3 linked regions of the Schizosaccharomyces pombe genome follow. Changing the gene in region 3 together with the main gene of any one other region gives a genetic interaction. Each region holds a gene or a part of one and is shown on either strand. Other genes may lie near its edges.

Region 1 (5,965 bases), on a different chromosome or scaffold from region 3:
GAGGAACTTGTGTCAACGAGTATAGTTGATGTTTCAAGGTGCTTCCTGTTTCATTAGGTTCAATCTCTAAGTCGTACTTCTTCCCTTGCCAACGAATTGCTATGGGAATCATCATAAATGGTTTTTGTAATTAATGAAAGAAATACTTGTTTAAGCCCAATATAATTTTTTTTGTAATTCTTTGCAAATTATACTTATTATATATGTTGCTGGTACTTGGTGAAGGCCATACAGTAACGAGCTATATACTCATTTTCGGTAACACCACGCAGCGTGCGTGGTTGTGCCGCTAAACTCGTTAAGCAATATCACACTGACACTACGTGTTAGCACAAAACCAAACCCGGAGACTGACTCCATAGATTCTAATTATGGTAAGAGAGGAATTCTTTTGTTATAAAAAGATATGATTTATTAACGAAGGCATAGTCTAATACCTTAAGACCTTATTTAAACGCAGTTCGTTCTACTCTGACTGCTTCTTTAGCATTAGAGGAATTCTCATCAGAAATTGTAGAACGCCAGAGTCAGCCGGAAGTTGAGGTTGGACGGTCTCCTGAAATTCTACTAAAGCCCCTGGTGGTCTCTCGTAATGAGCAAGAACAGTGTTTGATTGAGAGCTCTGTTAATAGGTATGTCTTAGGCATCCGATGTTTCCGATTCGAACTGGTACATTCACTGATCTTTCGATTTGGAATAACGGAGTTTTGAAAGTCATTCTCATTATTTGGATTTTTTTTACTGATGCATTTATGAAATTAGTGTTCGTTTCAGCATTCGTATTAAACAAGTCGATGAAATTGAACGAATTCTTGTGCGCAAATTTATGCAGTTTTTAATGGGTCGTGCAGAATCTTTCTTTATTTTGCGCCGCAAACCTGTTCAGGTACGTTATTACAAATTGTAATTGGCAAAAAAGTGTTCAAGGGAAGAATTTCTAGAGATTTTGCGTTAGTTTAAGTGTTCACTGTTCTGCCTCAGCCATTGTATAGTTCTTCTTTTTTTTCTTTTTCGAAGTTGCCATTGCTATTTGTAAATATCATCAAACTAACCTTTCTTTGTTATAGGGCTATGATATTTCCTTTCTTATAACTAATTACCATACTGAGGAAATGCTTAAGCACAAATTAGTTGATTTCATTATTGAGTTTATGGAGGAAGTTGACGCTGAAATTAGTGAGATGAAACTTTTCTTGAACGGAAGAGCTCGTCTTGTTGCTGAAACTTATCTGAGTTGTTTTTAGATTCATGTTTACGTTTTGGACCCTATCGATGATTTTATCAATTTATACATAAATAAATGAGCACCAAATACTTCTTCCGAATAAAATTCCTATCTCTTCTATTCTGTATTGAGTACAATAAACATATCAAGGCAGTTTTACATTCGATAATCCTTCATATCTACAATCTCGCCTTTTGACTTTTAGCATCCTTACAAGATATAACGAAAGTATACGATATGTTGTTACTTATATTAGGGAGCTGTTTCGTAGTTTATTTGATCATTTGACGACTGTAAACAAACTACAATCAACAACATTTTTGCTTTTTAATGATTCTGCCAGAATAAGTAGTTTCTATATAATTTTATGCACTTGCGCTAGTTGGTGGATAATTTTAATAAATACATGCATCCGCAGTTACGTTATGTCTGAACGAGATTTTAATACGCAATCTCCCAAATTTAAAGATGAAAACGCGAATTCTGTGATCAGCCAATCTGATTTTTTGGGGAAATCACTCAAAAATAATAACGATGATTATTCTGATTTCCGTGGTTCGTACCTTAATGATAAATCATCTTTCCAGACGCCTTTGCGCAACGGCTCTTATCAACCAAAAGGTAGTTTGGAATTTACTCCATTATTACAGTCTTCAAATAAAAACTCAGATAAATACAACGGGAGTTTGGGCGATAAAGGCTCTTTTGACCCTAATTCCTACGGGTTATCTGCTATATCTAAACAAGCTACTCAAGAAGCTTTGAGCATCAGTCAGGGAAATGACTCTTACGACGTTTCCAAGCTTACCGATCTCTCGAAAAATTCCGAAATAGATCACACAGATGGAGAATTGCCTGCAAATGCCGCCCTTACTCTTCGTGAGCAAGAAAAGGTCCTTGAGAAAGTTAGCAGAGAAAACTTTGGACTTCGAATCAAAATTGTATGTTTGGAAAAGCGACTTGAGTCTATGGCTCCCGAACAGATAAAAGAAGCTGTCAAAGACAATGTTGAGTTGCATGCCGAACGAGCAAACTTACAGCTTCAGCTTAAGAGAACTGAATCTTTACTTCAAAAGTCTGAAGACAAGAATTTCAAATTAGAAGAGAAGGTCGATTATTTATCTAAGGTTAATGATGTCGAGCAATCCCAGAATGTAAAAGTTTTTACGGAGCGCATTCGTTTTTTGGAGAATGCCTTGGAAAAAGTTCAAAGGGAAAAAGACAGTTTATCTACAGAGATGGAAGAGGATAAAAGTAACAAGGAAGTTGATTATGAATATGAAATACGACAGTTACAAAATCGGCTTGATGAATTATCGGAAGAGCTAGATGTTGCTCAAGATTTGCTTACTGAGAAAGAAGACGAAATTGCCACCCTGAAAAGACAGATTGAGGAAAAGGAGAATAGCTCTTCAGCTTTTGAAAATGAGGAGAATTCAAGCTACGTACATCTTCAAGAAGACTATGCGATTTTGCAAGCCAAATGTGATGAATTTGCGGATAGAATACAAGTGCTTACTGCCGATCTCGAAAAAGAGAAAGAAAATCAGATAATGCATGAATCCGAGGCCTCAATTGGTTTGACAGATTCCATGCAAGTACATACCCTTCAAGAACAATTACACAAAGCGAACGAAGAAATCGAATTTTTACATGATCAAATTAGTCGAATGAACGAAGAAGGTAAAAACTTTGAAGATATTATGCTTCAATTTAGAAGCTTGGAAGAAGAACGAGACGTGCTAGAATCCAAACTCCAAACTTTGGAAGATGACAATAACAGTTTACGGTTGATGACCTCCTCGTTGGGTAACCAAATTGAGTCTTTACGTACGCAAAATCGTGAAATAGATGAAGAGAAGAATCATTTACGTCTTCTTGCCTCTAAAAATTCAGATAAAGCACTTGCAGAAACGAATATCCGATTGCAAGAAGTCACTAAAGAACTGGAAACCCTTAGAATGAAGAATTCTAATGACTTAAACGAGATACACGATCTTAGGGAGGAAAATGAAGGCTTAACTTTGAAGATTGACTCTATTACCAAAGAGAAAGACCGTTTAATAAATGAGTTAGAACAACGTATCAAGTCATACGAAGTCAACGTTTCTGAATTAAACGGTACTATTGATGAATATAGAAATAAGCTTAAGGATAAAGAAGAAACTTATAATGAAGTGATGAATGCTTTTCAGTATAAAGACAACGATTTGCGGCGGTTTCATGAATCCATTAATAAATTACAAGATCGAGAGAAAGAGTTGACTTCAAATTTGGAAAAGAAGAACTTGGTCATTAGTTCATTACGAGAGACAGTTGCAATGCTCGAAAAAGAAAGAGAATCCATTAAGAAATATTTATCTGGAAATGCGAAAGACCTTGATAATACAAATTTAATGGAAATTCTGAACGATAAAATTTCAGTACTTCAGCGGCAGCTTACCGACGTAAAAGACGAATTAGATGTTAGCGAAGAAGAACGAGAAGAAGCCATAGTGGCTGGACAAAAGCTATCTGCTAGTTTTGAATTAATGAGCAACGAAAAACAGGCTTTGGAGTTAAAATACTCTTCGCTAAAAAATGAATTAATAAATGCCCAAAACCTCTTAGACCGGAGGGAGGAAGAACTATCCGAATTAAGTAAAAAACTCTTCGAAGAAAGAAAAATACGATCTGGATCAAATGATGATATTGAGAAAAATAAAGAAATAAATGTGCTCAATAGCGAGTTGGCCGACAAGCTTGCTCAAATTCGTCATTTAGAATCTGACAAAATGGAGCTAGATAAACTTGTGCATCACTTAAATAGGGGAATTGAGGAGGCGAATATAGAAGAAAATGCTGTCAAAAAGAGACTATGCCTTTTGATGGGATGTGATTATTCTTCGGTGAGTATTTTGCAGATAGTCAGTCAAATTGAACATTTTGTCAATCAACAAATCCAAACGATTCGGTCGTTGAAGCAAGAGTTACGGCATGATTTTGTACAGTTTTCTGGTAAAAAGGAACAGGAACTTAGTAGAAGCTTTGAAAAATTTGGATTGGGAACTGAGACAAAGCATGATATTCTTGCACAACGAAATCGAAACGTTAGTGAGAAGATGAATGACTTGGAAAACGCTGCCCAAAAGTTTTTTAGCTCTCCTGATCGGAAGAATGGCTATTTATATCCTTCTGAACATACTTCTAAAATCGAGTACCTTGAGAAAACGATTGAAGATCTAAAGCTTGCGCTTCAAGATGAACTAAAAAATCGAAATTTACTCATGGATGATATTTCCAGCTATAATAAGCAAACAACCAAGTTGCAGGAAAAGATTAAATGGTTAGAAAGAGAACGTTCGATACTTATCGATGAGCTTGAAAGTTATCGATCAAACCAGTTTAATTATCAGAACAACTTAGTACAAGATAAAAATGAACTGGAAGAAAGGCTAAAGGAAATCCAGAAGGAATTAGAGGTTTATAACAATCATTTTATGAAGCAAGCTGAATTGATGACTTCCAATGTTACCGACGAAAGCCAATTAATGCTTAAGACACTCAGGGAGGCTCTTCAGTCTAAGACTAACAATATCGATCATCTGTCTACTATTTTGGAACGTAATAGAAAAGAATATAAATCATTGTTAGATGACTATAATCAATTACGTGCACGCTATAAGAATTTACAATCAAATACTCCGCAATCCACACAGTCAGGGCAATACGAATCTGAAATAAAGGGACTCTCTAAGTTGACTAAATATCTTCAATCGAAATGTCGAAGAGAGCACTCTCTTCGTTTGGACCTTGCCTTTTCAAAAAAATTTATTTTAATGCAACTAACAGGATACGAAACATGCAATAAAATAAATTTACGTATGCTGCAGAAAATTGGAATTTCACCTGATCCTGATTTATCTAAGAAACACATAAAGCTGAAGAGTCTAATTATCGTTGTTTGTTCAATTGAAAGAATGAAGCGAATGAAGAATGAGTGGCTAAAACAAGCTCAATTGAAACAATCATTGCAAAGAGCTGCCGCAAAGGCAAAGACCGCAAACTACTAATCTGGGATACTTACGTTTTTTACTCTCTTTTTTTTTAACAACATTCAATTAATTCTACTACTATAATTATTTTAATTTATTGACTTTATTATCAAGCATTACTATTAATAACAGAAGAAAAAATAAATATTAATTAAGTCTATGTAGTAATGGTATTAAAGCGTAAAATCAAAACTTTGGGATTGAGATAAGAGCATCCGGGCAAATAGAATTAAGATACATATTTAATATAACCGCTGTTATTCCCCAAATTCTTGGAATCTTATCAATGTTAAATTCGACATAAAGCAAATCCGTATTACGAAATCGAGATATCTTTTGGTGCTTGGGATTTAAAAAAGAGGTGAGAGGAACGTAAAATAAATCTTTCACTTCACCTGTCCCAAGTGAAGGAAGGGAGGTTTGCACCGAAAACGCAAGGTAAGCCCGAATCTCAGTCTTTTCATCTCTGGTGAATAATGGAGGGAAAGTAGTCAAGTAAGTAAAAAAATTAGGGAGGAATCCAATTTCCTCGTAAGTTTCTCTTAATGCCGCATAATAATGAGAACCGTCTGAAGGTTCCACACGGCCACCAGGAAAGCACATTTGTCCAGCATGAGAACGCAAGTTTGGAGAACGTTGCGTGAGTAGTAAAGAAGCTCCTTGAGAAGTGTTTACTAGAGGCATCAAAACAGATGCAAATCTCGTA
Region 2 (6,030 bases), on a different chromosome or scaffold from region 3:
TACCTCTAACAAAATGCTACCGAAGTTTAGAAGCAGAAGTAGTATTATTAAGAATACAGAGAGAATTTCTAATATCCTGTCCGGTGGAAAACTGACTGTTTGCGGTAGTAAACTGGGAGGACTCTACACTTTTGAAAAATGCACATTTAACAAATACTATTCATCCTCACAATACCAGCATACGGGTAGACCTGTTGGAGGAAATATACATTCAAGCTCTAACCAGCAGCGTCAAAAAAATTCGGAAGCGCCAAGAATTAATGAAATTCCCCCCTCAACTTCGTCAGTAGAGAAATCGACGACTATTCCCAATAGTAGCGTTGTATTGGATCATCTCTTAAATGAAGGAGAAAATACTTTAGAAGAGGTGAAGCCCTCTGAAATTCATCCGCATATGTCTTGGTCCAGCAAGTCTGAAGGTAAGATGTTTAAAATCCCCGAGGAATTGCTTAATAAACTTAATGGATTTGGGGCTTTAGAAAAACAAAAAAAAAGTTTCTCCTTTTTTACCAGTGCTTCCCTTTTGCACAGGAAAATTACAACTGAATTAGTGAATGTACTGCAGCGCTCCAAAGACCAGGGTACGAAGGACGGACGTTTTCTTCTTGATGGTGCTCCAGGTTCAGGAAGAAGTATTGCTCTCATACAAGCTGAACTTTTCGCCTTATCACAACCTAATTTTATAGTCTTGCCAGTCCATAACTGCGAAGGATGGGTAAATTCAACGAGTAGTTATGGTTATGATGAGCAACTCAAGTTGTGGGTGCAACCAGATTTAATTAAGGGATTTCTAACTTCTGTTATGAAAACTAATTCTGATAAACTTAAGAAGCTAAAGACCTTTGAAAGTCATGAGTTGCTTCAGAACGAATGCATTCCTGCTGGTACCGATTTACTTTCCTTTCTTCATAAGCTAATTGCTTCCTCGAACGCTCCTAAATCTCTGGAAATATTTTTACAAGAACTCAATAACAATACCAAGTCAAATTCCAATATGAAGGTGTTATTAGTGATCGATAATATTTCTATTTTATCGGTCGTTACCAAGTATAAGGACAAAAAGAACAACTTCCTTCCCCCTAAAGACTTTTACTTTATTAATTTACTTTTCAAATATATTTCGGGTTCGCTTACTTTTAATCGTGGTACTGTTTTAGCTGCTACTTCTAGCCAACCGCGTGTTTCTACCCCGTCATTGGATATAGCTCTTGGAGTAGCTCACAGAAATCCTTACAAATCTTCTGATGAGACTATATTAGATTCATTACAGTCCGTGCATATTCTTAACATGGAGCCTTACACTTTAGATGAGTCACGTCGCATGATGGAGTATTTGGTATCATCCAACGTTTGCCTTGAAAAGGTTGATAATTATTTGCAAAATCATGTCCTTAGTGGTGGTAATCCGCGAAAGTTTTTTGATGCTTGCACACGTCTAGCATGATTGAGATATTCAAAAATTTCTATCCACTACAACTCCTTTAACGCGGTTTTATTTTTCTATTTTCTATTCTCATGTTGTTCCAAATATGTATCATCTCGTATTAGGCTTTTTTCCGTTTTACTCCTGGAATCGTACCTTTTTCACTATTCCCCCTAATGAATAATCTAAATTAGTTTCGCTTATAATTGATAGTAGTAGAAAGATTGGTGATTCTACTCGTGTAATGTTATTAGTTTAAAGATACTTTGCAAAACATTTATTAGCTATCATTATATAAAAAAAATCCTATAATTATAAATATTAATCAATATTTGCGGTCACTATTTATTTAAAACGTTATGATCAGTAGGACACTTTGCATATATATAGTTATGCTTAATGGTTACTTGTAACTTGCATGACCGAACACCATACCCCCAAAAGCAGGATTCTTCGCTTTCTAGAGAATCAATATGTATACCTATGTACCTTAAATGATTATGTACAACTTGTTTTGAGAGGGTCGCCGGCAAGCTCGTATAGCAATATATGCGAACGCTTGAGAAGCGATGTACAAACGTCCTTTTCTATTTTTCTTCATTCGACTGTAGTCGGCTTCGACAGTAAGCCAGATGAAGGTGTTCAATTTTCTTCTCCAAAATGCTCACAGTCAGAGGTATATATATTTTTGTTTTGATTTTTTTCTATTCGGGATAGCTAATATATGGGCAGCTAATAGCGAATGTTGTAAAACAGATGTTCGATGAAAGTTTTGAGCGTCGAAGGAATCTACTGATGAAAGGGTTTTCCATGGTAAGGTATTCTAATTGTGAAATATTTACCTGCAATTACTGTTTCAAAGAGATTGTATTTAACCGATAAAGAATCATGAAGATTTTCGAGCCATGCATGTAAACGGAGTACAAAATGATCTCGTTTCTACTTTTCCTAATTACCTTATATCTATACTTGAGTCAAAAAATTGGCAACTTTTGTTAGAAATGTAAATACCGGTTAAGATGTTGCGCACTTTGAACAAGACTGACAAGTATAGTATCGGCAGTGATGCCATGCATTACTTATTATCCAAAGGAAGTATTTTTGAGGCTCTTCCAAATGACAATTACCTTCAGATTTCTGGCATACCACTTTTTAAAAATAATGTGTTTGAGGAAACTGTGTCAAAAAAAAGAAAGCGAACCATTGAAACATCCATTACTCAAAATAAAAGCGCCCGCAAAGAAGTTTCCTGGAATAGCATTTCAATTAGTAGGTTTAGCATTTTTTACAGGTCATCCTATAAGAAGTTTAAGCAAGGTAACTAATACTGTTATCCTTCATAACTAATTTTAGATCTATATTTTAACTTACACTCTATTTGTGATCGGAACACAGTACACATGTGGCTTCAATGGATTTTTCCAAGGCAATTTGGACTTATAAACGCATTTCAAGTGAAGCAATTGCACAAAGTGATTCCACTGGTATCACAGAGTACAGTTGTGCCCAAACGTCTCCTAAAGGTATACCCTTTAATTGAACAAACAGCAAAGCGACTCCATCGTATTTCTCTATCAAAAGTTTACAACCATTATTGCCCATATATTGACACCCACGATGATGAAAAAATCCTTAGTTATTCCTTAAAGCCGAACCAGGTGTTTGCGTTTCTTCGATCCATTCTTGTTCGAGTGTTTCCTAAATTAATCTGGGGTAACCAAAGGATATTTGAGATAATATTAAAAGGTATTGTATAAAATTTATTACCACTAACGATTTTACCAGACCTCGAAACTTTCTTGAAATTATCGAGATACGAGTCTTTTAGTTTACATTATTTAATGAGTAACATAAAGGTAATATGCCAAATTTTTTTACCATTAATTAACAATCAGATTTCAGAAATTGAATGGCTAGTCCTTGGAAAAAGGTCAAATGCGAAAATGTGCTTAAGTGATTTTGAGAAACGCAAGCAAATATTTGCGGAATTCATCTACTGGCTATACAATTCGTTTATAATACCTATTTTACAATCTTTTTTTTATATCACTGAATCAAGTGATTTACGAAATCGAACTGTTTATTTTAGAAAAGATATTTGGAAACTCTTGTGCCGACCCTTTATTACATCAATGAAAATGGAAGCGTTTGAAAAAATAAACGAGGTATTTTAAAGTATTTTTTGCAAAAAGCTAATATTTTCAGAACAATGTTAGGATGGATACTCAGAAAACTACTTTGCCTCCAGCAGTTATTCGTCTATTACCTAAGAAGAATACCTTTCGTCTCATTACGAATTTAAGAAAAAGATTCTTAATAAAGGTATTAATTTTTGGTCATCAATGTACTTTACTTCTAATCTATTATTAGCAGATGGGTTCAAACAAAAAAATGTTAGTCAGTACGAACCAAACTTTACGACCTGTGGCATCGATACTGAAACATTTAATCAATGAAGAAAGTAGTGGTATTCCATTTAACTTGGAGGTTTACATGAAGCTTCTTACTTTTAAGAAGGATCTTCTTAAGCACCGAATGTTTGGGTAATTATATAATGCGCGATTCCTCATTATTAATTTTGCAGGCGTAAGAAGTATTTTGTACGGATAGATATAAAATCCTGTTATGATCGAATAAAGCAAGATTTGATGTTTCGGATTGTTAAAAAGAAACTCAAGGATCCCGAATTTGTAATTCGAAAGTATGCAACCATACATGCAACAAGTGACCGAGCTACAAAAAACTTTGTTAGTGAGGCGTTTTCCTATTGTAAGTTTATTTTTTCATTGGAATTTTTTAACAAATTCTTTTTTAGTTGATATGGTGCCTTTTGAAAAAGTCGTGCAGTTACTTTCTATGAAAACATCAGATACTTTGTTTGTTGATTTTGTGGATTATTGGACCAAAAGTTCTTCTGAAATTTTTAAAATGCTCAAGGAACATCTCTCTGGACACATTGTTAAGGTATACCAATTGTTGAATTGTAATAACACTAATGAAACTAGATAGGAAATTCTCAATACCTTCAAAAAGTTGGTATCCCTCAGGGCTCAATTCTGTCATCTTTTTTGTGTCATTTCTATATGGAAGATTTGATTGATGAATACCTATCGTTTACGAAAAAGAAAGGATCAGTGTTGTTACGAGTAGTCGACGATTTCCTCTTTATAACAGTTAATAAAAAGGATGCAAAAAAATTTTTGAATTTATCTTTAAGAGGTGAGTTGCTGTCATTCCTAAGTTCTAACCGTTGAAGGATTTGAGAAACACAATTTTTCTACGAGCCTGGAGAAAACAGTAATAAACTTTGAAAATAGTAATGGGATAATAAACAATACTTTTTTTAATGAAAGCAAGAAAAGAATGCCATTCTTCGGTTTCTCTGTGAACATGAGGTCTCTTGATACATTGTTAGCATGTCCTAAAATTGATGAAGCCTTATTTAACTCTACATCTGTAGAGCTGACGAAACATATGGGGAAATCTTTTTTTTACAAAATTCTAAGGTATACTGTGTAACTGAATAATAGCTGACAAATAATCAGATCGAGCCTTGCATCCTTTGCACAAGTATTTATTGACATTACCCACAATTCAAAATTCAATTCTTGCTGCAATATATATAGGCTAGGATACTCTATGTGTATGAGAGCACAAGCATACTTAAAAAGGATGAAGGATATATTTATTCCCCAAAGAATGTTCATAACGGGTGAGTACTTATTTTAACTAGAAAAGTCATTAATTAACCTTAGATCTTTTGAATGTTATTGGAAGAAAAATTTGGAAAAAGTTGGCCGAAATATTAGGATATACGAGTAGGCGTTTCTTGTCCTCTGCAGAAGTCAAATGGTACGTGTCGGTCTCGAGACTTCAGCAATATTGACACATCAGGCTTTTTTGTCTTGGAATGAGAGATGGTTTGAAACCCTCTTTCAAATATCATCCATGCTTCGAACAGCTAATATACCAATTTCAGTCATTGACTGATCTTATCAAGCCGCTAAGACCAGTTTTGCGACAGGTGTTATTTTTACATAGAAGAATAGCTGATTAATGTCATTTTCAATTTATTATATACATCCTTTATTACTGGTGTCTTAAACAATATTATTACTAAGTATAGCTGACCCCCAAAGCAAGCATACTATAGGATTTCTAGTAAAGTAAAATTAATCTCGTTATTAGTTTTGATTGACTTGTCTTTATCCTTATACTTTTAAGAAAGATTGACAGTGGTTGCTGACTACTGCCCACATGCCCATTAAACGGGAGTGGTTAAACATTAAAAGTAATACATGAGGCTAATCTCCTTTCATTTAGAATAAGGAAAGTGGTTTTCTATAATGAATAATGCCCGCACTAATGCAAAAAGACGAAGATTATCTTCTAAACAAGGGGGATTAAGCATATCCGAAGGAAAAGAGAGTAATATACCCAGTGTTGTTGAAGAAAGCAAGGATAATTTGGAACAAGCTTCTGCAGATGACAGGCTAAATTTTGGTGACCGAATTTTGGTAAAAGCCCCAGGTTATCCATGGTGGCCGGCCTTGCTACTGAGACGAAAAGAAACTAAGGATAGTTTGAATACTAATAGCTCATTTAAT
Region 3 (4,664 bases):
ATCGCACATTAACATCTGTTTCCAAAAGTGCCGTACATATATTTTTCAGCAGAGTATCGACAAGCTAAATAAAATTATTAGTAAAGGTTCGTATTAAAACGATAGATATCCTAATCAAAACAGAACATTGGGAAAACAAACTAGAGGTCATTAAAAAAATCTTCAGCTGCCTAAAAGTTGCTTGGTAAGTAAACCCTTTTAGTAACTTGAAACCAAAATCTAACATTGCATTATTAAAAAGGGTTTTAAATTTTCATGTCAAGGTAACGTCGATGTAAACGAAGATAATCCCAATATGCAATCAAGATATATATATATAAGAGATTGGATAAACCAGCTACGCAACTAGAAAAGCATATCTGTGGTAGATGATTTTTCTTATCGACAAATTTCGTAAAGCATGAAACGATGTTCATATACAGCGTGTAAAACATGGCAAATGCAAAATTTTTGAAGAAATCAAGCAAAGATGTATTAAATATTTTTATAAATGACATGGCTCACTCTCCGTATGAGAACAAATTTTCGATAGAATAAAACATACCTCTTCATTCACTGAAGTGGCCTTAGAAAAGTCCCCTAACGCAGAGTTCAAACGACGCCCTAAATCTGCAAAAACCATTTTGTCAGATTAAAAACTTCCAACCAGGCAATTTGAAGTTCGTCAAATGTGGTTGGTAGAGGATGAAGTCGTTAAGGACATGCAGTGTCTTCAAGCGAAAAGTCAATAGACAATTGAGGCAATATGATAAATGCCTAAAGATGAAGTAAAGAAGAGTTTGATATTATCTTTTTAAAAAATATTTTCACTGAGTTTAATACCGAGTTATTTCGCCTGCAAGCTTTTTATTGTTTTCAGTATAGGTGATATATCGACAGGATAGCGCAGCACAGCATTCCTATATAATACCTTGTTTGTATAATATTTTAGAATTAATCTATAGCAAAAGTTCAGTAGGTATAATCTTAAAAAATAAAATACTTATTAAGATTATACTCATGTGTAAAAGTGTTTGACTAGGTCCTGACAATTATTGATGCTTCTCTTTCTCACATTTGTAATAGAAACACGAATCGTAAATTCCGTGGTGGCTAACTTTGTCCCACAATCTTTTGATTCATACTTGCTGTAGTTTGTGTTTTAAGACGCTAATAGAAAAAGATCTAAAAGATTGATATTTGAAACTTTTTATATATTTTTCAGGCGTATGTTCTTATTCACCTTAAACTTTTTTGGAATTTTTCGTGCGTTAATCCAGCAATTAGTCTTAAGATCCAGTTTTTCCAAACTTCACGAAGGAAAGCACTTCCAAGTCCTTATAAGAGCCAGAATGAATTGCAATTAGCTGTTTTTTCAATATAAGACTAAAGATAAAGAATCGTTAACCCCTTAACACAAAATTTGAAAAAGAAATAACATTTACTACGCGTTATGGGTGAATAGTTATATTTGTTTACATAATAGACTTAAATAGAGAGGTGACGCGTTACTTTATTAAAATAAAGATTTGTTATATGAAAAAAAGTAATTAGAGCTCTTTTAAATGCTGTAAACATTTTCCGCTACACAGTGTATTTCGTAAAAATATGTACAAATTTAAAGGCGAACACGGAATTCTGGGAACAACATTTGGGTGGTTATTTGTAAAAACGATAATAAAAGACTCTTTTTAGACCATCTAATTCCTCTAAACGTGCGAAAATTATTTCTTTTCGGACGCTAAATTGGTCTCGTGTTGCAATATTTAAACATTCAATTTCTTGTTGAATTTTAACGTGGATGGCAGTATGAGCGAAATTAACGACTTTACGAATTCAATTATTATCAATGAAAGTGATACGAAATACGAGGTTTACTCTGAGGTGAATTCCAGTAATAGATGGATTGCCAAAGAGGATTGCCCTAGCCCGTTGGAAGATGTATGGCTTCTAAAATTAGCAGGCCATAAGAGAAAATTGGAAGAGCCTCTAAGTTGCATGCGTAATGAAGAACCTGCATCCAAACAAAGAGAGATAGAAAAATTTTTACGGACTGATTTGGATCACTCTGAAAATGACTTTTTAACTCAAGAGGTCGATGAATTCCCTTCTACCCAGCAGTTATTTCCTATTCCTTTGCAAAATGACACTGCCTTTGATTCTTCGGAAGAATCTATTACTAAATCTTCTAAATCCTCGTTCAGCGTGCTAGATATTGGCCTTCCAATGTCTGCGCTTCAAAGGAAAATGATGCATCGGTTGGTTCAATACTTTGCCTTTTGTATTGACCATTTTTGTACTGGTCCTAGCGATTCAAGAATCCAAGAAAAAATACGTCTTTTTATTCAATCTGCTCATAACATTGCAAAGCATCCTAGTCTGTATGATACTGAAGTTCGAAATCCCTCCGCTGCTGAATCCACTAATTCCCACGTTTCTTTAGATGCTTCTAATTTCTCTTCATATGCCGAAAATTCTTCAAAATTTCTTTTTTTGCAAGAATTATTCAAAAATCTTTCCCCCTCTTATTCTAAGACATTTTTTTTATTTATCTCCAACCAATTTCTTGCAAACACACTTACTCAATGGCTAAAATCTCAAAACATTGATGCTGAGTTATGGGCTGAAGAGGATGCAAAGACTAGCCAACATCCAGCAATTTGGATTTGTGTGTCCAAAAAGGCTCCCTCCGCTTCTCATTTTCTTCAATCTTGCCCAGATTTGAGTGCAACCATTTTTTATGATATCGAAGCATACATGAGTGTCACTAGTTCCTTGCCCTCTATTCAAAGCCTTGTCCTTAGGCTCATTCACTTGGGATCTATAGAACATGCCATAAAATGTTTTCAATCATCTTACAATGCCTCATTTTTAGTGAACATTGTGGGTGTGGTTGCCACTCTTAGTTCTTCTTCCGAGGAAAATTCAGAAGCTTCAAATTTGAGCACTTTGTTTGAGAAATCTGGGAACTTTGAGGAAATCCTAGGCTCAGAATCTCACTCTTCTATTACAGAAAAAACTCGAGATATTGCTAAAAATGTTGCGACCTGGTTAAAAAATGGAGAAAACTTCTCTTCTTGGCCACTACCTCCTCTAATGGATTTAGCAAGCTTATCGGTTGCAGAACCAAGGGATTCTCAGCCTTCTGTTTCTCAGGTGAACGATACTTTTGTCAAATCATCTGATAGTACATTTCCTTCGTCGCAAAGCATGCAATCACCTTCCAAACTCCACTCTTTAACAAGTAATGCCACCGATTTACTGTCATCAAGCTCACTAAAGAAAAACTTTTTTTCTCAACAGGAAGCTGATGAGGTAGAACTTTCCAATAATTATGATCTCCAAGGTGCAGCTGTCCAATACCTGCAGCGTCGTTTAAGAATGGTAGAAGATGAATTACACGAAGCCATTAATTCCAAAAACGTACAACAAAGTCGCTCAGAGGAGTTGGAGCAGCAAATTTCTAAGCTGACGGATAATTTACAAGAATACAGAAACACTGTTCGAGAGCTCAAGCTGGATTTGGAGAAATCGAAGAAAAAGAATGAAGACCTTTCAAAGCTAGAAGTTGAGAAGGTTGAAGAAATCGCAAACCTTAAAAAAGAGCTTACCCACTTAGCTAAGCAACAAGAATTTGGCTTTAAATATGTACAAGAATTTTCGAATGAAGATCTACAAGGCAAATTAATTGAAGCCAACGAAAAAAATTACAAACTTACTCAACTGTTAAAAACACAGAAAGAAGACGCTGATTTCATTACTAATCAATATCAAAATGCATCTACTTTTGCTGCTGAGCAAAGCAAAGAGGTTGCGAAACTTCAAGCTGAATGTAAGCGCTTACAAGCTATAAATTCTAAAGTTATGGAAGAGGTAAAAGTTTATAATGATTCAAGGGTAGAAGCATTACTCGCTAAGGTCTCTTCTCTGGAGGAGACCTTAAAAATTTTAGAGCAGAAGTCTCTTCCCAAATTTACTCCACATAATCAATCACCAAGGATTATTGATTCTAACTAAATCATTAACGATCAAGAACTTCAGTGGAATCAACTATAAAAAGTTCGTTTAGTCATACGGTTATTTGATTAAATTATGTCGTAATCAGCTTTTAATGAAACAATTTTAATTGTATTAATTTTTCAACAGTTGCAAAAATATATTGGTTTTCTTCATATATTCATCAAGAAGTTAGACATTTCGTTACATACTAGATTCAATGATCTATGTCATTAATTTTGAATTTGTTTTTGAAAGATTTTAATTGTATCAAATTCGAATATGCATCCTCAAAAGATGCAATATCAACATTGATGAAATAATTTTTTATGCTTCATATCATTTTGTTATGCTCGCAATATCGAACCTGTATAAAACTTCATGCACCTTATGCTCAACAGGTAAGGACCAAACAACCAGCAAGGATTGTAAAGCCTTTAAATACTAATTTTTCATCTGAATAGCACGGTCGAGTATATTCGGCTTCTTACTATCTTTCTTAGCACGATCCAAAGCCAATGTACCGTTTAGTTTTTCAACAACATCATATGTAATGTCTTCATCATTCAAATAGACAACTCTATTGTTATCAAAATCCACCACACAGAATTTAATAACGCTGAAAATGCTTTCTGGATACTGTGTGCGAGCTGCAAGACGTAGTTTTGTATCGATGAATTTTTCCTGGG

The links.
Region 1: mutations in ccq1 (region 3) and pcp1 impair growth when combined (synthetic growth defect), as found in Schizosaccharomyces pombe (one study listed by BioGRID).
Region 2: of ccq1 (region 3) and trt1, changing one enhances a phenotype caused by changing the other (phenotypic enhancement), as found in Schizosaccharomyces pombe (2 studies listed by BioGRID, with this or other methods).

Annotation. Positions count from the first base shown.
Region 1 is NC_003424.3:3,253,851-3,259,815, reverse strand, and holds pcp1 (gamma tubulin complex linker, pericentrin/kendrin Pcp1), read left to right. Parts: upstream 1-1,535; 5' UTR 1,536-1,650; coding exon 1,651-5,277; 3' UTR 5,278-5,415; downstream 5,416-5,965. Other genes in the region: ubiquitin hydrolase Ubp6, read right to left, coding at 1-115; ARP2/3 actin-organizing complex subunit Arc4, read left to right, coding at 372-374, 430-632, 763-886, 1,068-1,244; pcd1 (coenzyme A diphosphatase), read right to left, coding at 5,446-5,965. UniProt on the Schizosaccharomyces pombe protein: Spindle pole body component that binds calmodulin. Overexpression of pcp1 causes the formation of supernumerary SPB-like structures and disrupts both mitotic spindle assembly and chromosome segregation.
Region 2 is NC_003423.3:2,061,922-2,067,951, reverse strand, and holds trt1 (telomerase reverse transcriptase 1 protein Trt1), read left to right. Parts: upstream 1-1,841; coding exon 1,842-2,099; exon of another isoform or gene 2,100-2,155; coding exon 2,156-2,236; exon of another isoform or gene 2,237-2,307; coding exon 2,308-2,426; exon of another isoform or gene 2,427-2,437; intron 2,438-2,477; coding exon 2,478-2,740; intron 2,741-2,776; coding exon 2,777-3,169; intron 3,170-3,208; coding exon 3,209-3,279; intron 3,280-3,318; coding exon 3,319-3,588; intron 3,589-3,628; coding exon 3,629-3,745; intron 3,746-3,796; coding exon 3,797-3,966; intron 3,967-4,007; coding exon 4,008-4,192; intron 4,193-4,221; exon of another isoform or gene 4,222-4,238; coding exon 4,239-4,387; exon of another isoform or gene 4,388-4,428; coding exon 4,429-4,642; exon of another isoform or gene 4,643-4,679; coding exon 4,680-4,929; exon of another isoform or gene 4,930-4,968; coding exon 4,969-5,135; exon of another isoform or gene 5,136-5,178; coding exon 5,179-5,275; exon of another isoform or gene 5,276-5,317; coding exon 5,318-5,480; downstream 5,481-6,030. Other genes in the region: rsm23 (mitochondrial 37S ribosomal protein mS29), read left to right, coding at 14-1,444; PWWP domain protein Pdp1, read left to right, coding at 5,770-6,030.
Region 3 is NC_003421.2:1,484,515-1,489,178, forward strand, and holds ccq1 (shelterin complex HEAT repeat subunit Ccq1), read left to right. Parts: upstream 1-1,625; 5' UTR 1,626-1,788; coding exon 1,789-3,996; 3' UTR 3,997-4,164; downstream 4,165-4,664. Other genes in the region: signal recognition particle subunit Srp54, read right to left, coding at 1-64, 545-622; ubiquitin hydrolase Ubp5, read right to left, coding at 4,420-4,664. UniProt on the Schizosaccharomyces pombe protein: Component of the meiotic bouquet that facilitates meiotic nuclear reorganization of the telomeres to the centrosome. Links telomeres to the meiotic centrosome component pcp1. Essential for the formation of normal telomere clusters during meiotic prophase.